Linked DNA regions of Lepisosteus oculatus. The protein of the gene in region 1 purifies or fractionates together with the protein of each later gene. This does not show direct contact. Links are inferred from orthologs where the notes say so. Each region holds a gene or a part of one and is shown on either strand. Other genes may lie near its edges.

Region 1 (9,136 bases):
AAAATAAAAGACTCTGTGCACTTTTGTACAAAGTGATGTTTACCTAATGTATTTCTTTATATTTCTGTGAATAAAAATAAGTGAACACTGTTTTAAAAAAAATCCCACAGCGTCCATGTCTGTTTCAGGCTTTAAAAATCGTTTCTGTGACCATTTGCACTTTTTCTCAGTTCCAGCTTCAGAGAACAGTGAGGCAGTGTTCTGGCTGTGGTCAGGAGGATTACGTTAGGACTGAATAAATTAGTGGAAGTGAACAGGAGGCTTCTGACCGAGGCAGAGTAAGGAGGTCAGACCTGGAGCCCTGTTGTTACAGAGACCCCTGCTGGCCAGAGAGGCCTATGGCAGGAGTGTGCATTATGTCTGTTAATTCCGGCTCGGCGCTTAACAACCTAGATCAGAACACTACTGGTTTAACTGGGTTAATTTCAGCAACTTCACCCAGCTTTTCCAGAGCTGGTGCTTTAATGACATTATAAATCCTGCAGATGCAGGACAAGGATTGGACAGCCCTGGTCCTGGAGAGGTCCCTGGCCAGCAGGTTTTATAAGTGACTATCAAATTAAATAATCAATTTCTAAAGCACCGTAGCAACATAATGATAAATTAAACAGGTGATCTGTGACAGTTCTGTAATTTAGAGATCTTTACAAACACACATCTGTATACCCTTCAGCTCTCAGGAATCAGATTAACCTCCATTAAACAAATTTCAGGCTTCACTAATCAATACCCGCAAGAGGTGGAGGCTCCACTCCCCACTGGGGTGGAGAGTTTGGAGAACCCCCAAGACCTGGATCTGGGTTTTTCTGGACCAGGTCTGGAGACCCCTGCCTTTAAGAACACAACAAATTAAAACTGTGACTGTGGCAGGATTTCTACTTGCTGAGCTGATGTAACACCACGCAGTAAAATCGCTCACAAGTGGCCCAAACACAAAAAGTCTCCTTACTACCTGAGAATCTCCAGTCTTTATCATCGAAAGTGTCCGCGCGTGGAAGAAAAACTAACGCCCTATACAGAGACTAACAGAAAGGCCCCAGTTTCTGCTCTCCGAGTTCTCTTCTGATGCCGCTGGACTGTCTCTCCCCTGACCCTAATGAACAAATGTTTATTAAAAAAAACACTGAGCAAGACAACAAATTAAAGAAGAGACATAAAAAAGGAATAAGGCTGATCACATAAATTCTAGAGATAAGCAACTGACCTTGCTGGCAGAGTTTTGTTTACCAGCAAAATGCAATCTATCAGTAATCTATATTACTTTCATGAGAACAACGTCAGAAGATTAATGTGTTTAGTTTTTCCAGTCTCTATTCCACAGAGTTGATTTTGCCACTGAAGTATGATGAGAGGGAACACTGCTGTAGGACTTGCCTTCAAGGGTCTGACTCCTCTTTCAAAGACTCTGTGGCAGCTCGTGTGAGAGTGGGGGTGCACACCCAGCGCCCTGGATAGACTCCCCTCTGGGCGTCCAGAGTCTGGCCTCCCGAAGCTCTCCTTCCTCCAACGGGTGCAGTCCCTTCTCGCTCCTCCCCGATCTGTGCAGTGGGGCAGCTCTTCAGAGCCGGGTGAAATGGGTCCTCTTCCAGATGTGAAGCTTTTTTTGGGAGCCTCTGGGAAGAAAAAACACACAAGAAATTCAAGGAGGTTGTTATTCAGGTGTGGTCGAACCCTGGTGAAGGAGACGATTTGCGCTGCGAATAGCGAGCTTTCCTGGGGACACTGACCTGGTTGAGCAGGAAGCCCAACCCGTCCATAAGGGCGGGGCTGGCCGAAAACACGCCTCGCTGGGAGAGATGCGAAACCTGGCAGCGTGCCGGGGCGTCAGCGGCGCCAGCCCCCGAGTCCGGGATGAGCCAGTGAAGCTGTTGCACTTCTGTGCAGGGGCTCCTGCCAGTGGGCCGGCGCTTCAGGGGGCCTGAAGTGGGTCCCCTCCTATCTGCACGGGTCTTTGGGATCTCTCAGGATGGAAAAGCACTACATGAACGCAATTAACTCGTCTACAAATTACAAGGAAAAGACCACAGCATATACAGTGTTCTCCCATATATTTTATTCTTTAAATACAAATGTACATATTCTATTCATGACTGGAGTTAACATGCCCCACCACATTCATGACACGAAAGAAGTATTCAGATTCTTTTTTTTTTCTTTTACGGCCTAAGAAGATTGTGTTTTATGAACCTTCTCTTTTAACCTCGCTGTTTAATGAGCATCATGGTTTTCCTGCACATACACGCAGCCACACAGTGGCGAGACAGTCACCATCAGTGCTTTCAAATGAAAACCTTGGTGGTTTCAAGGTTTTTTACACCAGTAAGGTTTATTCTGGACACGTGCAGGACCTCTGGGGAGCGCTGCTCTGTCTAACCAGGCGTTGCCAAACATGTCCACACAGTAGTTATTTAATAATAATTAATAATAATTGCTTATACTTATATAGCGCTTTTCTGGACACTCCACTCAAAGCGCTTTACAGGTAATGGGGATCCCCTCCACCACCACCAATGTGCAGCATCCATTGTGAGCAAGACTGCTGGAGAGAACGCCTAGGGAGCCCGGGACACTACTGACACCATCTGTTTCCTGCTGAATTCCCCAAATCAGGGTGGAAAACCCTGTGAACTTACTTTCTGCTGCCAACTTCTGGCAGCAGGTATAGCTAATGTGCTGCAGCCTGTGTAGTCTTGTACAGCACTGTACGGCATGTTAGTACTGTAGCACTCAGAGCTCCAGCTGAGCTCCTCACGGTATCCCAGATAGCAAGCCCCACACACACATTTTTGAAAACATTCCTGGTGCTGGACAACCTTTTAATAAAAGCAATACAACCATTATCAGTATTTGACTGTTCATGTGTAACAGCAAATTGTATCAGCACAGAAATTTGCTTAAAAAGTTATCTTTTTCCAGGAAATGACAGAGGATTATAAAATCCCAGTTATCTCTGTCAAACAACTGCCAGATATTTTAGTACTTTTTTACTGGCCTTAATATTTTACCAGCCTGCATAAATTGAGCACACCTGTAAAGGGATTTTCCAATTTGACTGAGAATGAGTTTGAATTAATCACCTGACACTGATGCACCAGTAAATGTGATTCAAAGGGCTTGTTTCAGATCTCAGAACAGCAAGCAGCACCTCAAAAATATCCTCCACCCAAGGAATAGGTGGGGTGTTTTAAAATGGATGGATCACTCTGCCCCCGGTTTAACCTGACGCAGAAAGAAGAGCTTGGGATCCAGAAAAACACTGGATTCTCAAGACAAGTTGGAAATATACCACGTATATGAGTGTAATGACAATAAACTTGAACTTGAAACACGTTGTCAGCACCTTCCCTTGACACCTTAAAGACCAGCATCAGGAAATGATGACCAGACGAGCAAAATAAGTCCAAGCTAAATTCGAGGCCCTAAATAGTACCTGGCCTGGCAGGTGTGGCAGGGCCCGACGGGCCGTCTCGGGTCGGTGCCGCAGCGCTGGCTGCCCCTGTGTCCGAGCGCAGGGGTCAAGGGCGCCGCTCAGCCGTGGGCCCTGGTGTTGAACAGGAAGACCATGCCGAGCGCCATCAGCAGGCCGGCAGACACTTCGGCCAGCTTGCCCATCCGCCAGCGCGCGCCCTGCGCCCGCCGCCGCAGCTCCTCCTGCCGCCACCGCTGCGCCCGCTCCCGCGCCAGCTGCTCGCCGTAGTGCTCCCGGTAGAAGGCGTCGAAGTCGAAGATGGGCCGGCCCCCGGGGGCCCCCTGCGGGGCGGCCGGCCCCGGCGGGGGCGCGTCCCTGGGCGACGGCCGGCCGGCCTCCCGCACGTCCTCCTGGCTCAGCAGCCCGCGGTCGTACTTCCTGCGCAGCCCGGCGCTGCCCAGGACGCTGTAGGCCTCGCTGATCTGGAAGAACCGCAGGGCGGCCTCCTTGCTGCCCGCGTTCTTGTCGGGGTGGTAGAGGAAGGACTGCCTGTAGTAGGCCGTCTTGATCTGCGCCTGCGTGGCGCTGGGGGACACCTCCAGGATGTCGTAATAGGCCGTCCTGCTCCGGTGGAGCGGCGGCGCCTTCCCGGCGTGCCCGCTGCAAGCGCGGGCCGGCTGCAGACCGCCCGCGAGCCCCCGCGCCTCGCGCCCGGCCCTCTGCCACGCGCGGTGCCCCCCGGCTGCCGCGAGCACGGCGCCGCGCGCCGGCCAGACGAAGCGGACCTTCCGTCCGGGGCTTGTGAGCGGCGCGACCCCGTCCTGCCCGGCAGGCAGCTCACCGTGTGCGGGCAGTGCGGAGTCGCCGCCCTCCGGGGTGGCGGGCTCGACCCCAGCCTCATCCGTCTTCCCCGGCCAGCTCCCAGACTCCCCGGCAGCCGGCGGACACTGACACACGCCATGGACTTCGTTAACTATCCGAGCGCTCGCCTGCGCAGTGCCGAACCCCGCAAACGCTGCCTTTTGCCGGCAGGTCAGGACTCTGCAGGCTCCCCTTCCAGCTCTCCAGCTGACCTCCGCCATCGCTGCCGGCGAACAAGCGGCAGCAGACAACGTCCAGTAGGTCTGACAGCCGACCAATCACAGAGATACACTGGGGCGCGATCGACCAATCACAGAGAGACTCTGGGAAGCACGCCGGAAGGTGCGGCCCAGTTATCCAATCAGAGACGACCCGGAAGCCGTCAGCGTCACGTGTGGAGAACATGTTACACAAGAGCGCACTTCTGAACTCATATTGAATAACGCGAAGTAATCAGAAATAGAGTAGACTTTCATCAGTTTCAGTTTTCCCACGGCTTAGTACACAATCGTACATCAGTTATAGTGAAGAAAACGTATTACTAAATATGTAATAGACGTGGTCTGAAATACTGAAAACTAAATATTAGGTTTTAGAGGAAAAATAGTATAGAAAGTATTATAAACAGAATTATAAAGAAATTATTTCTACCACGTATTATTACTACGAAATGTCTGTAGAGGTTTCACAGTATTTTTGGAGTAGACACTGTATTGCTACTAATTGTTTTAGTAAAACAGAATTAGTATATTCAGATAAGGTCAATGTAAATCTAACAGCAGCGCTAAGTAAAGCGTACTCAGTAGGAACATTATGAGCCAATCCTACAAAAAGCACAGTAGCTCCCATCGACTAATCAGCCTAAAAATATTCAATCTATGCATACCGTAAAACGAAACGCGAATTACTTTAAGAATTCGTCTCTCATGTAATTGCGGTTTATGATACACTCCTTGAATTAGAAAAAATGAAACACTCTTTAACAACTGAATTCCAGCCACTGAGTCGCAGAGTGATGATGTCATGCAGTCCGGCCATGTGTCTCTGGGAGACGTGAGGGGTAGCCGAGAGTTTGTTGGGGACTGTTCGCCCTCTTTCTGTGTTGCTGGTTTCAGTTGAAAACCAAACATGTCTTCGAGTTGTCGTAGACCCGAGCATATGGCACCGCCAGAGGTGGTAAGTGGCCTGTATTGTGCTTAGTTATTCCGGTGTTTTCATGAACACGGGCACCAGACGAGCAGTGCAGAAAGCAAGCAGGGCTTTTAAGACCGAGGTGTGGTGCGCTTTCCATGTTGTACTGTGTTGAATCTTTATAAAGGCATGTTCAGAAGTTGGAGGCGGTCTTTCTACCTTTGCTTGTATTTATACTTCAGTGGTATAACGTTACGATGACTGTCGTTGTGTAGGGTGTTTAAGGTGCGCACGGGAACTTTTCTAGGTTTTAATGTGTATGCATATTCGACGGAGCTGTGTTTAATTCTGTGTAGGCAGTTTTTACTGCTAATCTTGTTTACCATCTGATGTTGTTTTCTTACTACGAGCAAATTCAGCCGTGAGTTAATGATCTTTTACTTATTCCATCTACTGCTGCACAAGATATGAATCCTCCCGATCCCACTGTTTACTCGCCAAGAAGGCCAAATAACGTCCGTGAACAGACACAGTAATATTAATATATTTAAAACAGCATCTGTCTGAAAGAACTGTATCCTGTCTAAATTGCCAAGAGGTTTGCTCGGATCGTTTTGTTTTTCTACGCTAGTTCACTGTATGCACTCTAGGAAAAGGAGCATTTGAGGTTTTTGAGAAAATCCGTTCTGACTAATGGTTATACATAGTCATAGACATAGACATCGTCAAAGTAATGCATCTCACTGCAATTAGAGGGCCACTTTAAGGTGCAGGTAATTTATTGGGGTCGAGCTGCCCTTCTCAAAGCAGGTGAGGAGGAATATTGCTGTCACACAGGGCTCTGAAGCCGGATCCAGTGCCATGTGCCAACTGCTTTTTTTCTTGAAACTGGCAGGGTCATGTGATACTTGCTAGAGTAATCCTGTGCTCTTTTCATTCTGCAGTTCTACAATGAAGAGGAGGCCAGGAAGTATTCACAGAAGTAAGAGTTTTCTCTTGTTGTCTGCAGATTGTACTGGAAATTCAAGTGTTGTTCACAGCATTTGACTTTATACCTGTGATCACTGCACTGCCTTGCTGTTAATCTGAGATTTTGAGTCAAAGGTCAATTCTGTGCCTCCTGTCACAGTTTGCTGATTTCTGATCTGTTAACTCTTGTTAGAAATGTGTTCTGTGCTTTCAGTTAAATCTTCTTAAACTGTTGCCTTGCATTTTCCACTGATACCCCTTCTACCTGTCTATTCTATCCCATTCTATTACACTGCCTCATTTCTTCAAAGTCTGCTTTCCTGATGTTGGTTGTTAATTCGGACTCCATCTGCAGAGTTTCACATATTCCTCCAAGCACACCTTGTTCTGATCAGTCAGTTCTGCATGCTTGCAGTGCCGTGCAGTTTGCTCCTGGGTTTAGAGAACATTAAGAACCCCCTTGCCTCTGTCTTCTGTGCACATAGCACCTGTTTCACTGTGGCCAGTTTCCCAGCAGCAGTTCAATACCTTCCGGCTCTCCGAGTCTGCCAGTCGATTCTCTTCGTGTGACCCTGGCGGTGTGGTTGGGTTGCAGCTCCCGTATGATCGAGATCCAGACCCAGATGTCTGAGAGAGCCGTCGAGCTCCTGAACCTGCCCGAGGACCAGCCCTGCTACCTCCTGGATGTGGGGTAAGTGTCCGTCCCCGGGGTCCTGGCTGTTTCAGGGTGACTGACCGATGCCTATAACTGCATGTCAGTGGCCTTTAGCTTGGAGTGTCCATGGTCCTCCGTAGCCACAGGGGGTTCTGCTTTTCATACAAATTGAGTTTTATTGTTTCAAGTCATTTGTTTTCTTCATCAGCCTTTTCACGGGTCTTTAAATAAATCAAATCAATACTGATCCTGGTCATAGAATTGATTTAAGAACTCCTGCCCTCTGTCGCTCACAGTTCGTAAAATATCTTAGATTGAAGCCTTTTTTAAAACATTTGATTCTCAGAGTAGTCTGTGCATTTTAGCAAATCTTTCATCAAGGCAGGCAGTTTTCTATACATTTTCCCTGTATGAGTCACTCCTGTTTTTATTTGGATCGGTTTTGGTTTTGTTCATCCTAGACTGAGTCTGACCCACTTCAGGTTTTCCAAGCTTCTGGCTGTTGTCCTTACTGTAGTGATGAAATGGAAAGATAGATCACGTAAAGCACTGTTTGTGGCGTTGGCTTGTGAAAGAACTTGTACTTGGTAAATCATGACATGGATCTTGCTGCTGCGGCGCTGGAGCCTGACGTGTTCCTCTGCTTGGTGGGTGCAGGTGTGGCTCGGGGCTCAGTGGGGACTACCTCTCCGAACAGGGACACTACTGGGTAGGAGTGGACATCAGCACGGCCATGCTGGGTAAGCCTGCAGCTTTCTTTTTCTCCACACCGCACCCCGACACACACAGACACACCTTCAGATCTTAGTGATCATTGCAGTGCTCTTACTGCCTGCTCTGTAATCTGTGCTCCCATTTCTCATAAAGTTCACTGGAAGCCAACTGGGTGTGGAGCTCTATCTTGGATACCCCTGCCTGGTCTCTCACTTTCACTAGTTTAGTGCTGTGGTTTTTAAGTACAATTCTGGCTGTTAGAGCCAGGTGAGATAAAATACTTCAAGCCTGCTTTCTCCGTCTCCTAACCCTGCCTTTGTGCTGTGAATTAAATTTGAAATTTCCTCTTGGTCTCTAGAATAGAGCTGCCTACCCGAGCACATCTTCCACAACTTCTCCTGAGTCTAGAGAGCTACAGCTTTGTAGGCTTTATAGGAAACTTAAACCCCTCAATGGACGAAGACCTGGTTAGACATCTTCCTCTCAGTCAGAGGTCCCCAGTCCTGGTCCTGGAGGGCTGATGTGTCTGCAGGTTTTCCAGGTCTCTTTTAAAGAACCAACACCCGAAGAAGGGAAAAAGTAGTAAATTGGTCCAGTTAAGCCCATAATGAGATGATCATGTAGTTAGAAGCCCAGCTGGCCTGAAAACCTCCAGGACCAGGACTGGGGATCCCTAATCTAAATCTTTTAAACTGTTGTGTGTAACTGAGAGAGAGAGGTGTGCTGGTGGAAGAACTAACTGAGCCTCACTATTGTGTGTCCTGACATGGGCTCAGTTATCCATAGGGAGAAAGGACCAGAATCAAAAGACAATCAAAGTCCCCTGTTATCCAGTCTCCTCTGTGTGGTGGTTGTGCATGTGACTCAAAGCCCTCTCACGCTTCTGCTCTGCCTGTGCCAGATGTGGCCCTTGACCGGGAGGTGGAGGGAGACCTGCTCCTGGGAGACATGGGACAGGGCCTGCCCTTCAGGCCCGGTGCCTTCGACGGGTGCATCAGGTAGGCCCCGCTCCCCCGGTCTCACCCCGGCCGGAGCCAGACCCCGCGCGCGGCTGACGTCTCGCTTGTCCTGTGTCTCTGCCAGCATCTCGGCCCTGCAGTGGCTGTGCAACGCGGACAAGAAGACGCACAGCCCCCCCAGGCGTCTGTACAGGTTCTTCAGCACGCTCTATGGCGCATTGGTAAGAATGGCCTGCATGCCGGGGGGCTTTAGTAGAGCCGAGTGTTAGCTGCGCAGCTTGGAGGCCTGGGACTGCAACCTCTTTTATTTCCCTTGCTTTTGGGATCATCGGATGTCCTCGTATCGGTGCAGGATGGGCGTCCTTGAGCACAGTGAGGGTGGGGTGTAGACTGGAGCTGCAGTAGGGGACAGGGTGCCGCTGTCTCTGGAAGCCCTGC
Region 2 (10,019 bases), on another chromosome or scaffold:
CCAAGATCCTGGCCGTCGCTGTGACCTCAAGTTTTAGAGACAGGCGCATGAGCAACTTTTAAAGGCTCAACGTTTTAATTTTAGCGAACAAAACTAGAGCAGCGGGCGAGTCACGCAGCCGCGCGTCCAGCGCCGCCCGTTGTAAGGTCTTGCCTTCATGACAATAAGGAGGAACTACAGTACCCCCGTGGGAAAAGCCCCGCAGATTCACCTCCTCAGCTGGCGGGTCCCGGGCCTCTTACCTTCCCTCTCGATCTCGAACACGCTGATGGCGTCCTCGGGGCTGAGGCACCGGAACTCGCTGGCCGGCAGGGTGTGCCGGCGCTGGCGGCCGGGCGACAGCGGGCACCGCAGGTGAACGGGCTTCAGGAAGGGCAGAGCGCTCACTACAGACATATCGCACCGGCTGGCCTCTCGGGGAGAAGGTGTCCTCTGTGACTTCCGCCGCTCTTCGCGTTTTTTGCAGCACCACCGGAGCCGAGTCACCTGAGGAGAGAGAATGGCTTGATGGACTAGGGCAGCCCCGTATTTATACCGCTATGTGTCCGGCGATTTAAATTCCATTAAGCACCCCGGTCATTACTTAGGCTGGATGACAGCTCTGTACATTATCTTTACAAACGAGCGACACGGCGCGCATTTACATTTCAATTACTCGTGTTTGACGACTGCTTGAACAAAGGGATTGAGATGGGGTTTTTTTTTTTAAAAAAAACTAAAATCTGAGGTCAGCTGGTGCGGTCACAAAATTGAATCCGACGCTGCTGCTGCCTGAGTGTTTCTAATTGACGGTTATACCGTGTGAAGAGTTCAAACGACTGAATTGCTTGCGATGTACGAACTAGGTTGCCTTGTGACAGGTTGGTGATGTAGTTGGGACTATTGAACAGCATCCCTTTTGATATTTAATAATAGTAGGTCTTAAGTGTATGGACATAAAACTTAACACATGTTGTACTGTACCTTATTGTGTCTTTTAAAGAATATTTTACTGTTGACGGGTCATTCTGTTTTAAATACTCTAACTTGTGTGCTTTTTTCATCGGAAAACCGAACGAAGCGAAATACTTACCAAACACAGGAGAGTATATAGCGTCAGTGCTATTATTAACGGTTATTATGACCGCGAGTACGAATCTTTAACACACTCGTTATAATTAAAAATAGAGGCTATAATTCCACAGTGAAAAGTAGGAAAAGAGGAAAAGAAAGGGGGGCGCATGCGTCTGCAGAGGCTCTGCAGGTGTGAAGGGAGCTGGAATCATAATATCGATCATCCTCACACTTATATAGCGCTTTTCTGGACACTCCACTCAAAGCACTTTACAGGTAATGGGGATCCCCTCCACCATCACCAATGTGCAGCATCCACCTGGATGATGCGACGGCAGCCATAGTGCACCAGTGCTCTCCCCACACACCAGCTCTCAGTGGGGAGGAGAGCAGAGTGAGGAAGCCAGTTCAGAGATGGGGGTTATTAGGAGGCCAAGATGGTAAAGGCCAGGGTGAAACTTGGCCAGGACACATGGATAAAACTCCTCTTTTCGAGAAAAAAACTCTGATTTTTAATGGCCACAGGACCTCGGTTTTACATCTCATCCAAAGGACGGCACCTTTTTTTAAAGTATGTCCCCATCTCTATATTGTGGCATTAGGACCCACACAGATTGGAGGGTGAGAGCGCCCCCCACTGGTCCACTTACACCTCTTCCAGCAGCAACCTTATTTTTTCCCAGGGGTCTCCCATGCAGGTACTGGCCAGGCTCACACCTGCTGAGCTCCAGTGGGCTGCCAGTGAGGAGCTGCGGGGCGTTGTATCTGCTGGTTATAGGAGGCATGAATAAGGGGGAAAGGTGGTGGTTAGGAATTTAGGGATAATTTTTGCTTCCAGTTTGGAGTCAGAGTCCTGGAATCCCTGTAATGGACACAGAGAGTGAGGGTCAGAGGGACCGGGGTCCTCAGGGAGAACATGGGGAACTCACAGCTGGGGCAGATATGGGCCATCACGGCTCTGAACTGTCCAGTCACTGAGCAGGGAGAGCTGAAGATCCCCGAGTGGGGCAGTTAACAACAGCAAGAGCCGAAGATCCCCGAGTGGGGCAGTTAACAACAGCAAGAGCCGAAGATCCCCGAGTGGGGCAGTTAACAACAGCAAGAGTCGAAGATCCCCGAGTGGGGCAGTTAACAACAGCAAGAGCCGAAGATCCCCGAGTGGGGCAGTTAACAACAGCAAGAGCCGAAGATCCCCGAGTGGGGCAGTTAACAACAGCAAGAGCCAAAGATCCCCGAGTGGGGCAGTTAACAACAGCAAGAGCCGAAGATCCCCGAGTGGGGCAGGTCAGAACAGGGAGTGCCAGTGATGGCAGAGCACACCTGCTGTTGCACAGGAAAGGGTGAAGGTTCCTTCGGCACCACTGCTCTGTGGCAGCCTAGGCATGCTGAGGCAGCTCCCTGCTCCCCCGCATCCTGTGTCCCTCGGCGATCTAGTCGATTGTCTTAAATCTCTGATTTCTGCCTCCCACACTACCCCTATAACTTCAGCTGGTCATCTCTTCAGTCCCTTTCTCACACACACCCTCCCTACCTATTCTCTCAATCTCTTACCCTCCTCACCCCCCTCTCCGCCTCTCCCCCACCAACACCGGCTCTCTTCGCCTTCACTAGATCCTCCGCGCTTCGACAGATTCCCGTTCGACCCGCACCAGGGTTTGCACAATCATCGATTAACTATCTTTTTTTCGGGAAAAAAAAACTTCAGCGGATTTGTGAAATATTACGTGACAACAATACGTCCATGCGCGCAGGCCGCTCGAGTTAAAAGAGTGTTTAAAAGTTAAAAATAGTAAGCTACAGCGCACGGGTCACAACAGTTCCAACTTGTGTTTTTTTTTTTACTTGTTCGGCGCAAACGAGAGCAAAGCGCCCGCAAACTGCTTCAGTTCTCGGGGTGACTCACCCTGAGCGAGTGAGTGATTAATGTGCAGTTTCCGTTAATAGGCGCACACTCCACCCCATTAATTCTGTATAATTAAAATCCATTAACAGCTGATATAAAGGAGACGGCGCTGCTGTTAGGATGCTGATTTTGTGTCAAACATCAGACGTCATTTGAAAAACACGCAGAATTTGCTCCCGGTATTAGCTCTGCTTTAATCGGTGTTCACGAATCTCTTTTCATGAGGGATGATCTAATGATATGTTCAAAATCTTTCGAGTACAACCTTGTTTTTTTTTTTCTTCTTTACAGATCTTCTGCTAGCAACCTCTGTGATCGAAATAGCGCTTTTCTGGTAGTTTCTTTTCCGTTGGACGAAATCGTACATGGTACTTACCTCTGAGTGAAACTGTGTTTCTTAAAAGGAGGTGTTAAGCGATGCGTCAGCTGTCGGCTCCTGCCTCCGTCTTGTTTGACGCTGTTGTGCGCCGGGAACCTGCTTCTCGCACAGGTATGGCGCTAGTTCGCGGTCACGTGGTGGTCATTAGCGTCTCAGGTCAGTCCCGATCAGAAAGGCACGGCCCTTTGGACCAGCCTGTCAAGCGCCCGTAAAACACACTGGGTCCTGATGCCGAGGACTGTAACAACGGGGTGCAAAAAAAGTCGTGTGACTTTGTCTGCGGTACCCATCGGGCTTCGGTGTGTCCAGAAATCGGCCCTGCGCCAACCCACGTCTCCACATCCGCACGAAACTCCCGTTCTTGGTGAATTGTCCGGGCTCTTGTCGTTCTTCCCGGCATTTCAACTCCTTCCTCGCCAATAGGGAGTGAATGCAACCCCGTAGGCATGAAGCCTAAACATATCTGTTAGCGTGGGTACGGTCGTTTCAGCGTCCACCATCCTTGATGACTCAAGATGGGTGATTAAGCAGTGTACGGCTGGACATACTTGCGTCCGAATGAAACACAAAGAATCTTGCAAATGAAGGAATTTTACTTGCTTCGCTTTTATGGCGACATTGTTTCGCACCCTCCAGTTTTACGTGCAAGGACAGAAAGGCCCAAGTAAATTTATTCGACGACGCTGTTCGCACCCGTGTGACGGCGGATTCTACAGAACTCCCTGCGACAAGACGGGCAGAAAGTGAGAAGGACAGGTTTCACTTCCACCCTTGTCATCGTTATAAATCGTCGCTGCAGTTGTTCGGCGTTTTCAAACAACCCTGCCGCGCAATTTGCGAAACACACACCGGGGTTCTGGCAAACTTGAGACGATTAGCTTCGCCTGCGAGGGGCTGTTTTTGTGTGTGTGTGTGTAAAAAGACCTGTTCTTTTTCAGCAGAGGCTCCTGTCCAGGCTCGCTCGAGTACAATAAGCGCAGTAAGACGAGTCCCGATTTCATGGCTACCTGTAACCGAACCACACAGCACAATAGTGTAATGTCCGATACGTCATAACATTTTGAAACGAGATTAAGGAAAAGGAATGAGACTCATAACGGGTAGTACAAAAAAATGATTACCGAGTTATTACATGATGATATTGCTTTTCTAGAGAGTGTCAGTGCAGCGCTGGCGAATTACAGGTGTGTAGCCGACAGCGTGTCATTTCATTGTCTGCAAGAATAAGGGAAAGCCGTGAAATTATATTCCATACAGGGGACTATTGTTTCTGGATATCGTTGTGTTAATTACTGTACTGACGGGGTTTTTAGTCATTTTAGTTGAGAGCCTCAGCAACAGCTCGATACGCTGTGTTGTCTCAGCACAACTGAAAGCAAAGCGTCTCTCGAAACACCTCGACGCGCCCTCGGATCGGTGCGGAGGGAGCTATTTAAATGGAAAATATAGGGCGAGCCTGACATCTTGTGGTAAAAGGGATATTTACACCTCACAGGAATGAGTTGCAACTTTCTGCTCTGTAGGGGGGGGGCTGTTTCTATACCCATGGGTGCGCATTGAGCGAAAGGACTGTATTCTAGGGAGACTTTTGCGGGAAGCGGACACATGGTCAGGCACTCTGAAATGTATTTCTTCGATTGCAATCTTTATCTGAAACGAAGAAAAACAACCAGTGCGTTAACCGCCTTAATTCTGACTTTCACGGCAGCGTTTCTTATAAAAAGCCAATTTTTAGCTTGAGCGCAACTCTTAAGAAGCGCTGTGTGTTGTATTTCCGAAGGAGCATGATCCTGTTGAGCGATAATAATAATAATAATAATAATAATAATAATAATAATAATAATAATAACACCGCTTTCAAAGGGACAGCTCAACTTTTCTGTAAAGCCTTAACCTTTTCTGAAACTGCACATTCAGACTCGCGTTCCAGGAGGATCGAGGCCACAAACACTAAGAGAGAAGCCAAACACAAAACAGAAAAGACAAAGAGGGGGGGGACGAGAAATCCCTGAATACCCTTTCAGCTCGGCGGGGGGGGCGGGCTTCCCCCCTCGCCGCCCGAAGATGCGTGTGCGCCTATACGGAGGGTAATACGGCCCTCAAGCGGCGACACCTCTGCTCTGACGGTGGGCTCTCCCACTGGCGGCGCACGCAGGGCTTGCGTGTCGACGTAAACACGTGTGGTCCCTGGTTACAGATTTCTCTTTCTCTTTTCTCATCCTCCACTCCCCCCCCCCTCTCGCCTCTCTCTCTCTCTCATCACCCAGTCCCTGATTACGGCGATAGTGATGGCGGACCCCGCAGCGGCAGGGGTAGCGACGGCAGCTGCTGCTGCTGCATCTCCATCTCCCACCCCGGCCCTCTCTCCCGCAGGCAGCCCGGGCTCCGACCCGCCCTCCCAGGCTCTCTCGCCCTCGGCAGGCGGCTCCCAGCGGCTGCTCTTCTCCCACGACCTGGTCTCCGGCCGGTACCGAGGCTCGGTCCGGTTCGGCCTGGTCAGGCTGATCCACGGCGAGGAGGACTTCGACTCCGACTCGGATGTTGGAGACGGGGGAGGAGGAGGAGGCGGCGGCGGGGACGGCGGCGGGGGTGTAGCCGGCAGCTCAGACACGGAGAGCGGGGCGGCGGACACCCGGGCCCGGCCTCTGGGAAGAGGCTATGTCCGGGTGCAGTGGTACCCCGAAGGAGGCAAGCAAGACATCCGAGAAACCAAGGTAATCCTCAGCGCAGTGACAGCAGTGAGCCACAGTGGGCTTGTTTCACATTAGAGGTTATTGTCCGTGTCATGTCGCCTTCTTAGCTAGCGGTCCAGTCGCAAGTGCATTAACTAGTTTGAGCAAAGGGGAGGTTGGGTGTGCGCGGCACGAACTGTGCTAGTTTTATTTATTTTTAATGAATGGAGAGGTGAAGGGAGGCTACCTGCGGCTGTAGCTATGCAGCTGTGACACACACACACACGCACAGGAGCTCCTGCGAGGCGAGGCGAGGCGAGGCGAGACGTTTCCGCCTTGCGGAGATTTTGAATGAAAAAGGAAGGAGTCGGACCCGCTGCGCCCGGGCTCGGAAATGCCAACCTGTAACGCAGCCCGCCCAGACGCACCGGCGGCTTGAGGCTCGGTTCGGGAAGATCGCAGAGCGTGGTGCGGTCCACCCAGGAGGGCTGAAGTTCGCGGACGCGTCCAGTTCACAGTCGCATAGGAGAGGTGCGAGAAGGACCGGACGCTTTCAGACCTCAGGCGGTGCGGGGTTTCGATATCGCAGTGTGTGCTTGGCCTGCGGATCACGGGCCTGGAACAATAACGCTTTCATTGACCGAAACCGTTATAAAAAAAAACACAAATACCGCTCTGCCCGATATATATATATACACACGGTGCACGGAGCGGTGCAAAAGCGCAGCGAGACGCATGGTCGTGCCGTAGCGAGAAAAGGATCTCTTCTGCACCCCTTCCAGCAGAACAATAGTAAGAAACGAGGCGGCGAGTTCAGGGGTGTCTTTGATAGCGCTGAATGCCGTAATATTGACAAGTAAACTGCTCTGCTGCAGGGGAGAGGCAGGCCAGGCAGCACCAACTAATGGTTTTCAGAAAACAACCACCACCAGCACACCAAGGAATGAAACTGGGCCCAGCTTTGTATTATTCCTGGGGGGGGGGCTTTGTTTCCTACAGTGACTCTCTCCTGACTCCAGTCCCTGGTGCCACTCTTGCTTTGAGAACGGAGGCTGTGTTCAGTGGAAGGCCGGGCCCTCAGACTCGGTTCCCAGAGGGCCTGGTGTCATCTGTTTTCTCTTTCCAGCCCAAGAGCAGTCAATTCAACTTTTAACCTAATTATTTTCTTATTTGGACGTACCTGGGTGTTTGCGATGATCCTAAACGCGCACTTCACTGGAGGCACAGGTAACTGCAAGCCCCAGTGTTCAGCTGGAGCCAAACCCAGACGACTCCAGGCCCCGCAGGCACTGGGCTGGAGCCCCTGGTGTGAGGGGGTCTTGGTTGGTGTTGTTGCAGGCCTGTCTTGGGCTTATTGGGAGAGGCCTAGACTATGTGCCTTATCTCTGCCCTGAAGCTTGAGTGAGCGTTAGCAAGCTTGAGCCTGCTGCATGTTCATGGTCCACGTTAGGATGGACTCCCATGTGTACACGATTCCTTATACCTTTGTTCACTTAGCATCTGAACGGCTCTGTGGGGCCGAGCGCCTCGCTCCCCTTTCGGTTGAGAGTAGCTGGGGATGTTAACGGCGCTGTTTGCCGGGCTCTTTCTCGCCTGGGCCGTACTGGTAAAGGCTGTACAAGTCATCATTGTACAAAACAAAAGCAGCACAGGCAGTGCAGTGTTTGGCTTGCTGCTGAAGTGATAGATGCTTTATTGTCCGCTGCTGTGGAAGTTTGTCTTTGGCTTCTCCCACAGAAGCACAAAACATAAGAGTCTCGTAAAATCACATGGAATCACAGCAGCAGTATGATGCATAAGTACTCGGATAAATTAATAGGTAGAGGGAGGAGAGCCTTTCCATAATTTTATTGCAGAGGAGACATAGGACTTCTTATAAATGGTTTTTATTTGTTCCTTGCCGTTCTGAGAGCTGTATTATGACACCGGATGGGCGCTGCAAAACTGCATTAGTGCTTCTCCCTTCCAAGGCCCTGTTGCAGTTGTCGGCCTCTAATGTTACGCCTCGCTGCAGCGATTTCAGATTTCAGGGCGCTCGTGCTGCGGTAGAGGCCAGCAGGCCAAGCGAGCAAGCGCCCCTGTGTCTCGTGTTCAGAGACCAGGGCCCCTCTGCAGTCCGGCCCACGCTGCTGGACGTGACGCAGAAGTGGACAGGCACAAGCAGGCTGTTCCTCTTGGTGTTGAGGGAGTCCTTTCTCACTTAGAGGGTGCGCTGGTGGGAATGAATTCCTGGTGGCTTTTAAAACCTTTGAGTTGGCAGTACGACTGATACGACTAATGTGTTGTTGTTGTTTTTTTTTTTCCTCCAAAGACTTTGACGTTTTTCCCAGCACACACACCCCGTGTGGGGAAATCGGAGGTGAACGGTTTCTGTCCGCTGAAGGGCGCTTGTGGAGACCAAGGCCTGCCAGGACACAGTGTGGGACCCCTCTGGAAACACACATCTGGGGACTAGGGTTTGAGGGCTGACGGCCACCTCTCTTGACAGATCCTTAACACTCCCACCCCCCACCCAGGTGTCTCCAGTCTCGTGAAGAATTCATTAGATTTGTTTAGCGTCTCCAGACGTGGCTTTAATGTGCCTGTGTCTTGATAGCTGTGTCGTCAGTTTTCCCAGTCACGTGAACTCTCCTGGAGAGATTCCCCAGGGTGGCACGCAGACGGAGTTTATTACAGTCCTCCTCACACTTGGGCTGTCGTTTGTGATTCTGCGCAGGTGCATTTTCGTGTAGGGTACTTAAGAGCTTCAAGTTTGTCCTCGCCATCCTGTCTTCCTGACTGGCGTTATCAGAGAGCCGCGCTTGAAAGGAAACACTCGTCTCCTTGTCTGAACTCGTACTTACTGGGAGTTTGGTCAGTAAACAGGACACCACTTTAAACACCAGTTAATAACGCAAGGCTCTTACAGTGAGTCATATTTTCTAATTGCACTGTTTTATTTCCACAATTTTTCCCTTTTAATTTTTTTTAAACCTGACAGATTCCTTGATCTTTTTGAGCTGATCCGAGAAACATCCCTTTCTGGGATGCTTCCCTGAAAAATGTGTGGCTGACACTATCTCCTGGCCGTGCGACTGCAACTCCAGCAGTGAGACAGGAAAGTGTGGAAATAGTACTGCTTAAACTAACAAGTCCCACATTCTCCGTGTAGCTGAGCGCTGTCACATTTTTCCTTTGCATGTTAATATGTGATCGGTGTGTACGTACAAATCTGTCAGTTAGCTGCGTTGTTACCCAAAGTGCTCCATGGATTGAATACGTTCATATTATTGCATCTTTCTGATGTTTTTTATGTGCTGGTTTAAAAAGGTTGCGTGGCGATGTGAAAATAGATGGCCTAATTGAAAGATGGATTTCAGGGCAAAGCTTTTTTTTTGGTTTGTTTTGGAAGAACACGCCACGGATCGCCCTGACGCTCATTCTAGTTCTGCATTGCCGTCTTTTGGAATGTGGTGACGGGACTGGCACATGGCTCACACTCACTTTGTAAGACTCAGATCTGTGTGTGGGACTTGAAAAGGAGAGCTGGCCCCTGTCTCCCCGTGGAAGCTGTCATGCAGTGAGTAAGCACTTTGCAGGTGTTGTGCACCGGTGTTTGAGCAACTGATGCTTAACCACGCCTCCGTCTTTCGGATCTTTTAAGTATGGGCGTTCATCCTTCTCCATTTCTGTCTCGGACCGAACGCCTGTGGTTTCCTTCTTCTCTTTCCGGATCCTTGTGCAGAATCCGAAGCCCCCTCATCCCCAGGTGATGCGTCTGTTTCACGGAAATACTTCTTAAAAAGAAAGCATATGGAAAACGCCATGCTAGACGTGCAGTGAAGTAGCTCGCTAAATAACGTGAATGTTGCATTCATGCAGCATGAGCGCAGCCCTCTTCTTCCTCCTGCTGTAAAGCTGGACATGTAGAATGAGCATTATGAAATGTACAGCTTGCCTCCAGGCTGTTGTTGGAGCAGAATATTCCTAAAATAGTGCTACACAGAAACAGAATTTCTGCAGAAACGGGCTT
Region 3 (10,201 bases), on another chromosome or scaffold:
CAACACGCTGCTCCCCCAGTGGACACAGACCCGCCCGCTGTCCAGCTGTGTCCAGTCCCCACTCCCACACACTACACCCAGGGCATCTCGCCAACTGGTCAGCGGAGGCCACCACAGGCTGCCCTCTACCCCAGGGGACTGGTCAGCGGGGGGGACAGAGCAGCGAGAGCCCCTGGGGACTGGTCAATGACTCGCAGAGCGCCCCCCAGCCCAGCCCTGACCCACCTCTTGGACCGCGGGTTGCCCAGAACCTCCAGGAAGTGCTCAGTGTCCAGAACCAGGTCCACCGCCTGAGAGAGAGAGAACCAGCGGCTCAGAGATCAGAACTTCACAGACGCCGAAATACCCCCCATTCCTGCCCCCCCCCCCCCGCCGGCGCCCCCTGCTGCTCACCCTGGTGAAGGCGCCTGTGGGGTCAGCCAGCATCCGCACCTGCAGGGACAGACAGACGGCCGCGGGTCAGCGAGAAACTCCTGCGACAGTACCCCCTCGCCCCCTCGTGACAGTACCCCCCTCCTCCTCTCCCCCTCGCCCCCCTGACAGTACCCCCCTCCCTTCACCCTCGCGACAGTACCTCCCTCCCCTCCCCCCCTGACAGTACCCCCCTCCTCTCGCCCCCCTGACAGTACCCCCCTCCCTTCACACTCACCCCTGTGACAGTACCCCCCTCCTCTCGCGCCCTCGCCCCCCTGACAGTACCCCCCTCCTCTCACGCCCTCGCCCCCCTGACAGTACCCCCCTCCTCTCGCCCCTGTGACAGTACCCCCTCCTCTCCCCCCGCCCTCGCGACAGTACCCCCCTCCTCTCGCCCTCGCCCCTGTGACAGTACCCCCTCCTCTCGCCCCTGTGACAGTACCCCCTCCTCTCGCGCCCTCGCCCCCGTGACAGTACCCCCTCCTCTCGCCCCTGTGACAGTACCCCCTCCTCTCGCGCCCTCGCCCCCCTGACAGTACCCCCCTCCTCTCCCCTCGCCCCTGTGACAGTACCCCCTCCTCTCCCCTCGCCCCTGTGACAGTACCCCCTCCCCTCACCTTGCCCTGGGCGCTGTGCTCCCGGCCCCAGGCCTCCATCACGAAGGCGTCGTTCACGGACACACACGCCACCTCCTGGATGCCCCGCGCGCGCAGCTGGTCCGCCTGCTGTATGAAGCCGGGCAGGTGAGTCTGCAGGCAGGGGAGAGGGGAATGAGGAGGAGGCTCTTCAACACCAACCCACCAGCAAGAACCTGGCTCCAGGTGTTTCAGAGTGTACTCCAACCCACTGCCCTATACGGCAGGGAAGTGTGGGGTCCCCTCACAGACCAGGGGTACACTCACCCCAGAGAAACTCTGCACATGGAGATCTGTAGAAACCTACCTGCAGAACCCTAAACAGACAATACACACTAGCCGAATATCTAACCAAGATAAATAACAGCAAACAGTGAGCCTGTCTCTCAATAATAATAATACAGTGTGTGATCTCCTGTCCCAGCCTGAGGAATAGTGAGCCTGTCTCTCAATAATAATAATACAGTGTGTGATCTCCTGTCCCAGCCTGAGGAATAGTGAGCCTGTCTCTCAATAATAATAATACAGTGTGTGATCTCCTGTCCCAGCCTGAGGAATAGTGAGCCTGTCTCCCAGTAATGCTCCAGATGTCTGTTTGTAAATATTTTATGACCATGTCTTTATTGTAAATGTCTGTAGGTTGTATTTCTTTCGCTCTGGCAACGCGGATTGTACTCATAGGTCATGCCAGTGAAGCACCTTGAAGTGAACTGAGAGAGAGAGAGGGGAGGGGGCTCTGGGCCGTACCTTGGAGCAGCCGGGGGTGAAAGCCCCTGGCACTGCGAACAGGACCCCCTTCTTCCCCTTGAACAGCTGGTCCATGGCGACCTTCGACCCCGGGTCTCCCTCGTGCACCTCCACTGCGGGCAGCTTGTCTCCTACCTGGGAGAGAGGAGGAGGAGGAGGAGGAGGGGGTGAGGAGACGGACACAGAGCGGCAGGACTGGGGCGCACCGACGCCACCTTTACACTGAGGGCGGTGGGTGCCGGGAACAAGCCGCCCACCCGCAGCGAGGGGTGCGCCCCTGAGCTAGCCGTCCTGCGGGCAGGAGGGGCGACACGGCGCCTCGGCGGAGGAGGGAAGGAATAGGAGGGGACACACGGCGGAGAAAGGAGGAAGGAGACGGTCGCGTCCAGTAAATGAAAGGTTTCCGAGATGAGGAAACACTTCCACGCGTGATGAAACAGGAACGCAGAGCCGGATGCCAGGCGCGTTTAGAAATCAGTTTCTTCTTTTTGCGTGTTGAAATCTGGAGCCGTGTGCGGTGGGGCGGGGCGGGGGGGTGGTGCTGTGGGAGCGGCGTTGTGTAAGCGGCGCCCTGCGTCACATTATTATATATATGACATTAATTAGCACGGCCGGGATGAAGAAGGCCCGGGCGGACCGTGCGCTCGGCGTCGCCCATCTCGTCCCGGCGCTCAGGGCTGGGTTGTCAGCTGTCGGGACTCCGGAGAAGTCTGGCGGAGTCTCGGCCCCGACACCGCCGCCGCCCACCGAGACCTGCACCGCCGGCAGCCCCGGTCCCCAACCCCCGCAGCCCGTGTCCCGCAGGCGCCGAGCGGGGGGCCGTGCGTGTCCCGCAGAGGCCGGGCTGGCTCTTACCTTGATGGGCATGTTCGCGACGGCAGAGGCGTGGAGGCGTCGTGCGGGCAGGAGCAGCGTTCCTCGGGCCAGCGACGCGAGAATCATGTTGCCCCGCAGGTGCGCGTCTATATATAGCGACGGCGGATCTGGGCTCTGAGGAGGCGGGAGGAAAGGAGGGGGGGGGGGGCGTGAGGAGCAGAAAGACAACAAGAAGGAGAAACTACTCGCTAGCGAAGACAGTGCGTCCACCCCTGGTGACGGGACAAACTGCGAACTGGAAACCGGCGGCCATTTTGGCTCCGGCTGCGGAGCCGCAGCGCCCGGCCGTACTCCACCGCCGGAGCCAACATGGCGGAAGGAGGGGCCCAGTGCCGGCAGGCAGGCAGGCAGCAGCAGGTGCCCACCCCCACCAGGTGTGCGAGAGTTGCATCAGGCCTCTCGGGAGGAGCGGCAGGCCCGTGTGATGTACACACTGCGCCTGTTTGTACCCACAACAGGACCCGGGTCCGATTACTGCGCGCGGATCAGGTATCCAGCGGCCCCGGCGCGTCGGGCCTCTCGTTCAGACAGGCGTGCAAGGCGACAGGCAGCCCCCCACGTCTCCCCCACACACCCGGGGTCCCCCCCGCCTGTCTCCTCACACGCCTGGAATTGTTTTAAAAAATGGTATTAAACGTATGAAGAATTTACAAATCCAACCAGAGGATCAGAAACAGGAACAAGGAGGAAGAAACAGGAGCAGTCAGCTGCCGGAGGGGATGAAGTAAATTGCGTGATCAGAGGGTGTTTTTTACAGATGTGTAAAATCAAATGTGCTCCTTGCTTTAGCATTTTTCACATCTTTTATGGAATTTAAATAGTGTTTCAACTCCACCTCAAAAGTACTATAAAGGGGAGTACTATTAGACCACTTTGAGTTGTGACTGTGAAGTTCACCCAGAATGGCTAATAAATTTACTATAATGCATAGCAATACATTTATATTTACATCTATATATTCATATGTGTGATACGATTTTTCTGTGTACTGTTCTGTTCTAGTTTGTTCTTTGTGTGTCCAGACTGTGAGAAACTCTTTTCGTGCACCCCTCACTGTACTGATTGTATTGTATGTGTTGTACTATTATTATTATTATTATTATTATTATTATTGTATCATTCGTCACACTGCGGCTGTGTTGTCTGTGTAAAGCTGCTGTTGCACTGCAATTTCCCTCACGGGATCAATAAAGTATCTATAAATCAATGCTCTTTTTCCAATGTTTCTATTACATATTACCATAAAATATCGAAATCCTTAAATCTAAATAAGCACCTTTGACTGCCTGCAAACAAAACTCTGCACGTCCGTCCGGAACAGCTTCACAAACACCCGAGCAAGTAACAGGTTTATTCCAGGCGGAAAAGAGAGAACACACAACGTTTCGGCTGTGAGGCCTTCTTCAGGCGTGAGAGAAACGTTGCGTTTTCTCTCTTCTCTTCTCCACCTGGAATAAACCTGTTTCTTGTCCCCTTTGCAGCCTGACCCTGCGGACGCCGCTCCCCACCTGCGCTGCTTTACAAATTCCCCTCAGGTGCGCTGGGATTCCCGGAGCCGGTTGCCCTGGCGACCGCGTCATAAGCCCCGCCTCCCCGTGGTGATGTAATGACCCGCTTTCCTGGAAGGATGAGCCAGCGAGAAAATAAACGGCCCCGGATGACCGTTGCCGTGGTGACCGAGGAGGAAGGAGGAAGTGAAACTGGAGCCGCCGGCTCGGCGGGGAGAGACGCGGTGCCCCTGAGCTCTCTATGTGGGTCAGTGGGCGCAGAGTGCCCCCCCAAACACACGGGCGCGCGTTTCACCGCCAGCCTGGTGGTGTCCAGCTACACCTGCGGTGTTTTCTAACACACAGCCTGGCGGGTCTGGGGTTAATCTGGGCTGACCGGTCCCCCTGCACGCCTCTGGGCCGACTCGTTCTTGTCCGTAAACTAGTACCACTCAACTGCGGCCCACCACGCAGAGCAGGGCGGTGTTTTCAAACCTGGGAGCGGGAGGCCCTTCTGTACACAGAGGGTGGCGGGAGTGTGGAACAAGCCGCCGTGTCCATAGACGGACAGGTGTGTGCCACAGGACACCCCGATGTCTTTCAGGAGTCAGCCGGATGAGAGCCGGGGACCAGTTAGCAGACAGGCTGAGGGGCTCCTCTCCTCTCCTGTTTCTCTGTTCGTGACTAGTGGGGACACGTCACCCCGACTGGAAGATTCTCTCCCGGTATTTACAGACGCGCTGTCCACAGGCTCTGATGCGGGTGGTCACTCCCCTGTCCCTGTTACTGAGCCAGAGGTCGGGTCAGAGCCCAGCCTCTTGACGGAACCTCCCAGTTCCTCTGTAACTGAAACCCAAGCGCACCATTGTTCGAGAATCTTTTCAACAGCAGCCAGGAACGGGCGGAGGGAGGATCAGTTCCTGTAAGAGACTGGGTCAGGATGAGAAGGAACAGGTGAAGGTCTATTTCAGAATCGCCACTTAAAAACTCAACTCAACTGAGGCACGAACTAGGGCGGGAGCGGCGAGGGGCACAGAGCCCCAGAACCCGAATCCGGTACAATAACAGAAGGACAGACAATGAAATGTGGGCTATTTCGAAGTCGCCAATGTGAGATAAAAAGTCGCAATTGCGAGATACAAAGTCACAATTCTGAGATATAAAGTCGCAATTCTGAGATACAAAGTCACAATTGCGAGATGCCATAGCGCGTTGTTTTTACTCCCCGATAGAAAGGGGCTTTCATACAGGTGTGCCGAAACAGCGTGGAATAAACCGTGTTCCCTATGGAGAAGCGGGAATGTATTTACCACACTCCGTAAGGGCTCTTTAGAAATCCCCCGGGTGATTCTTGAACATAGTGACGAGCTGCGGGAGTTGTTGTCAAGAAAAACAACGCCGTGTGATCTGTACCATAAAACGTGGGTTCGTTCGATTCCTCATTCTGTGGCGGAACCAGTTGTTCCGCAACGTGTGCGTCCTGGGGGACGTATTTTACTGCTGTACCAGCTCCCGCTTCTTCCGGTCCATGCTTCCACCACAAACACCACCGGTGGGCCTCTCGACTCGGCGTGAGTTTTTCCCCACAGCGACACCAGGACGCTGATCCCGCGCGTGTGCCTCCCACGGTTCCTCCAGCGTGTCTCGCTGCGTGTCGGCCCCCGTCTCGGGATGAAGCTCATCACGCACAACATGCTGACCTCGCACGTGAAGGGGGTCACCAAGGGCTACCCGCTGCTGATTAAAGTAAGGCTGTTAATTACCCCCTGCTCATTAGGGCGCATGTGTTCACGCAAGGACAGTTCATTACAGACCGATACTATGGGGGGGTGTTTTTCAGTTAAAGAAGTTTAAAATAAGTATGACCGATGGCGCCCTAACTAAACCACTGTACCTTTTAACAGTCTTTACAATGACTGACAATATAGCGAGCACTGCGCTGTTAAAAGTGTGAAGTGTACGACAGAATCTGCCTCCATGCGCGTCTCTCTGTCCTGACGGGCCTCTCTGTGTATCGATTCAGTTCAATTCCAGGTGCTTTATTGGCATGACCGGTGAGTACAATCAGTGTTGCCAGAGCAAAACAAATACAGTTCACATAAAACAACAATCTACAGACATTTACAATAAAGACACGGTCATGAGATATTCACATATAAACATCTGGAGCATTGGTGGGAGACAGACTCACTGTTCCTCAGGCTGGGACAGGAGATCACATACTGGGCTGCCAGTTCAATTGAGTTCCCTCCTCCCTCTCCCAGTAGAATTGGGACCCGTTGTGATTCTGTCAGGTGTGGGAACTCTGGGATTAGATTTCTGAATTTCGGGAAGAATGTTTCTCTAATTCCAGAGTGTCTGTCACAGTGCAGTAGGAAGTGCACCTCTGTCTCCATTTCTCCCTGTTGGCAGTGGGAGCACAGCCTGTCCTCTCTAGACAGCCAGGTCTGCCTGTGTCCAGTTTCTATGTCCAGGCTGTGCTCACTGAGCCTGTCCTCTCTGGGCAGCCAGGTCTGCCTGTGTCCAGTGTCTGTGTCCAGGCTGTGTTGTGCGTTGTGTGTATTGTGCCGTGATGGGGTTGAGTCTGAGTAACGAGTCTCTCTGTCTCTCTGTCTCTCTGTCTCCCTGCTCAGGCCACGGAGGTGCAGGTCAGTGAGGTGGAGTTTAACCCGGAGTTCCTGTCCCGGATGATTCCCAAGCTGGAGTGGGGGGTGCTGGTGCAGGCGGCCGACAGCGTGAGTCAGCTGTCCTGTCTCGGAGAGACCGCTGGGGCCGCGGCCGGGCTGTGACCCTCCTCCTTTCTCTCTCTCCAGCTGGGCCACCTGAACGACCTTCCTAACGAGCTGGCTCCTGAGCACGAGAAGGACGAGGAGTTCCTGCGCAGGGTCCACCGCGTGCTGCTGGAGGTGAGCTGGTACTGCGCACACTCACTCTCCCCTGCACACCCGCCTCTCACTCTCCCCTGCACACCTGCCTCTCACTCTCCCCTCTCACTCTCCCCTGCACACCCGCCTCTCACTCTCCCCTCTCACTCTCCCCCTGCACACCCGCCTCTCACTCTCCCCTCTCACTCTCCCCCTGCACACCCGCCTCTCACTCTCCCCTCTCACTCTCCCCCTGCACACCCGCCTCTCACTCTCCCCCTGCACACCCGCCTCTCACTCTCCTCCTGCACACCCGCCTCTCACTCTCCCCTGCACACCCGCCTCTCACTCTCCCCTCTCACTCTCCCCCTGCACACCCGCCTCTCACTCTCCCCTGCACACCCGCCTCTCACTCTCCCCTCTCACTCCCCCCTGCACACCCGCCTCTCACTCTCCCCTCTCACTCTCCCCTGCACACCCGCCTCTCACTCTCCCCCTGCACTCTCCCCTCTCACTCTCCCCTGCACACCTGCCTCTCACTCTCCCCCTGCACACCTGCCTCTCACTCTCCCCTCTCACTCTCCCCCTGCACACCTGCCTCTCACTCTCCCCCTGCACACCTGCCTCTCACTCTCCCCTCTCACTCTCCCCTGCACACCTGCCTCTCACTCTCCCCTCTCACTCTCCCCCTGCACACCTGCCTCTCACTCTCCCCTCTCACTCTCCCCCTGCACACCCGCCTCTCACTCTCCCCCTGCACACCCGCCTCTCACTCTCCCCTCTCACTCTCCCCTGCACACCTGCCTCTCACTCTCCCCTCTCACTCTCCCCTGCACACCCGCCTCTCACTCTCCCCTCTCACTCTCCCCTGCACACCTGCCTCTCACTCTCCCCTCTCACTCTCCCCTCTCACTCTCCCCTGCACACCTGCCTCTCACTGTCCAAAGATGTATCTTGGAAGCTGTAAAGAACTTGGTTTTCCAGGGGTAACCCCCACCTCTCTCTCTCTCTCTCTCTCTCTCTCTCTCTCTCTCTCAGGTGGAGGTGATGGAGGGCAGCCTGCAGTGTCCAGAGTCGGGACACCAGTTCCCCATTACCAAGGGGGTCCCCAACATGCTATTGAGTGAGGATGAGAGTTAGAGAGAATACGTCTGTTCACAGCTACCGACACGAGCCCTGCCCCTGTGTCTGAACCAGCTCTTCACTGTGTGACACTGCACTGGGGTGTCCAGTGGGGTCAGTGCTGGGGGGTCACACTGCACTGGGGTGTCCAGTTGGGTCAGGGCTGGGGGTCACACTGCCCTGGGGTGTCCAGTGGGGTCGGCGCTGGGGGGGTCACACTGCACTGGGGTGTCCAGTGGGGTCAGGGCTGGGGGTCACACTGCACTGGGGTGTCCAGTGGAGTCAGGGCTGGGGGGGCTCACACTGCACTGAGGTGTCCAGTGGGGTCAGCGCTGGGGCTCACACTGTACTGGGGTGTCCAGTGGGGTCAGTGTTGGGGGTTACACTGCATTGGGGTGTCCAGTGGGGTCAGTGCTGGGGGTCACACTGCACTGAGGTGTCCAGTGGGGTCAGCGCTGGGGCTCACACTGTACTGGGGTGTCCAGTGGGGTCAGTGCTGGGGGTTACACTGCACTGGGGTGTCCAGTGGGGTCAGTGCTGGGGGTCACACTGCACTGGGGTGTCCAGTGGGGTCAGGGCTGGGCTCTTATATGATCTGCAGAGGCAGACTTGGTCAGTTCATTGATTAGCTGATTTAGGACAGGGGCCACCCGCTGGGGTGGCTGAACAAACCCCTGCCACTGGTCCAGACTGACCCTTGACCCCTCTGGGCAGGCCAGCCTGCTCCTGTGAATGAACTCGCTCCAGACACAGGGGCACTGCTGTCAGCTGCTGTGCTATAAACTATTTATTTTCATCCGTCTTGCTGTGATTTAAATTTGATTTCAGTTTTTTGTCCAGTGTAGGACTGAGACAGACCCCGTGTTCTACAAACATGTCGAGTCTGTGAAACAGAAAAAATAAAAGTTAAACTCGACCACCAGCTTCTCTGTGTCCTCAGGTCTTCTTCCACTCTTTCTTGACCTGGACGGGTACGTCAAGGGTACATGTGATAAGGACAGGGAACAGGTGCACAGATCCTGTACAGAGATAGGTGTGTGGACAGAGACAGGCACAGTAGACAGGTGTGTGTGTGGTCAGAGACAGGTCCAGTGGACAGGTGTGTGTGGATAGAGACCAGTACAGTAGACAGGTATGTGTGTGGACAGAGACAGGTGTGTGGTCAGAGACAGGTCCAGTGGACAGGTGTGTGTGGATAGAGACAGGTCCAGTGGACAGGTGGGTGTGGATAGAGACAGGTCCAGTGGACAGGTGTGGGTGTGGACAGAGACAGATACAGTGGACAGCTGTGTGTGGACACAGGGTCAGTTCCACCTACCGTCGAGAGCCGCGTCACACAAGAACACGCCAGACCAGAGGAGCGGTGCGCTCGTGTGGCTTTATTATAAAAAGAAATACAGAGGAGCACAGGAACACACCTGACCCCAGGGACACCAGCAGGAGGCGGGACCAGTCCCGGAGAGGTCGTGGGGAATAAAAATAGATTTCAGCTCTTAAATACATTTCTCTCCCATCATACGGTAATTATTGAATTTCTTCTTCCCTGCTTCCCTCTGGATTAGAATGATCGTTATTACTACTGCTCATATTGATCGATAGCAGGTAAAACCAGTGACGTATAGAGGAGTTATTGCTCTTGTAACACGCACACGCACACGCTAGACAGAGACGAGACCGCAAACCCGTGACGAACTCAGAGTGCTCTTCCCGGTTCAGTACCCGAACCTCTCCAAACGCTGCCCCACTCTGCAGCGGGCCGTCCCAGCCCGGCCGGGCGTCCCGGACCCTGACCCTACAGCGACGAGGCCAGCGGGACAAAGGAAATTATTGCTCTGGAAAACACTGGGGGGGGAAAACACAACAGCCTCTCCCCAGCCCGAACCCGGGCTCCTGCGGGGGGGCCAGGCTGGGACAAGGGACCTGCCGTCTTTACGCAAAGGGCGTCGGGGGGGTGCGACCAGCAGCACAGCGCGCCTCTCGGGCTGCTGTCAGGAATCCCGCCGGCTGGGCTGTCCACCCCCCTGATCCGGAGCCCAGCGCTGCCTCCACCCTGAAC

The links. Proteins that work in one complex are often made in the same cells at the same time.
Region 2: the proteins of bud23 (region 1) and ube2o purify together in Homo sapiens (affinity purification with mass spectrometry; 5 studies listed by BioGRID and IntAct, counting the BioPlex papers as one, with this or other methods). This does not show direct contact. The link is inferred for Lepisosteus oculatus from reciprocal best matches to the Homo sapiens genes BUD23 and UBE2O.
Region 3: the proteins of bud23 (region 1) and trmt112 purify together in Homo sapiens (affinity purification with mass spectrometry; 5 studies listed by BioGRID and IntAct, counting the BioPlex papers as one, with this or other methods). This does not show direct contact. The link is inferred for Lepisosteus oculatus from reciprocal best matches to the Homo sapiens genes BUD23 and TRMT112.

Annotation. Positions count from the first base shown.
Region 1 is NC_090721.1:874,405-883,540, reverse strand, and holds the start of bud23 (18S rRNA (guanine-N(7))-methyltransferase), read left to right. Parts: upstream 1-5,123; 5' UTR 5,124-5,398; coding exon 5,399-5,446; intron 5,447-6,345; coding exon 6,346-6,383; intron 6,384-6,965; coding exon 6,966-7,061; intron 7,062-7,682; coding exon 7,683-7,765; intron 7,766-8,640; coding exon 8,641-8,737; intron 8,738-8,822; coding exon 8,823-8,919; intron 8,920-9,136. Other genes in the region: dnaJ homolog subfamily C member 30, mitochondrial, read right to left, coding at 3,529-4,491.
Region 2 is NC_090704.1:45,373,500-45,383,518, forward strand, and holds the start of ube2o ((E3-independent) E2 ubiquitin-conjugating enzyme UBE2O), read left to right. Parts: upstream 1-5,494; 5' UTR 5,495-5,623; coding exon 5,624-6,049; intron 6,050-6,374; exon of another isoform or gene 6,375-6,538; intron 6,539-10,019. Other genes in the region: aanat1 (serotonin N-acetyltransferase), read right to left, coding at 243-396. UniProt on the Homo sapiens protein: E2/E3 hybrid ubiquitin-protein ligase that displays both E2 and E3 ligase activities and mediates monoubiquitination of target proteins. Negatively regulates TRAF6-mediated NF-kappa-B activation independently of its E2 activity.
Region 3 is NC_090713.1:23,019,863-23,030,063, forward strand, and holds trmt112 (multifunctional methyltransferase subunit TRM112-like protein), read left to right. Parts: upstream 1-5,676; 5' UTR 5,677-5,830; coding exon 5,831-5,905; intron 5,906-6,792; coding exon 6,793-6,894; intron 6,895-6,972; coding exon 6,973-7,065; intron 7,066-8,061; coding exon 8,062-8,163; 3' UTR 8,164-9,067; downstream 9,068-10,201. Other genes in the region: prdx5 (peroxiredoxin-5, mitochondrial), read right to left, coding at 226-290, 394-432, 1,032-1,163, 1,797-1,931, 2,652-2,786, 4,655-4,720. UniProt on the Homo sapiens protein: Acts as an activator of both rRNA/tRNA and protein methyltransferases. Together with methyltransferase BUD23, methylates the N(7) position of a guanine in 18S rRNA.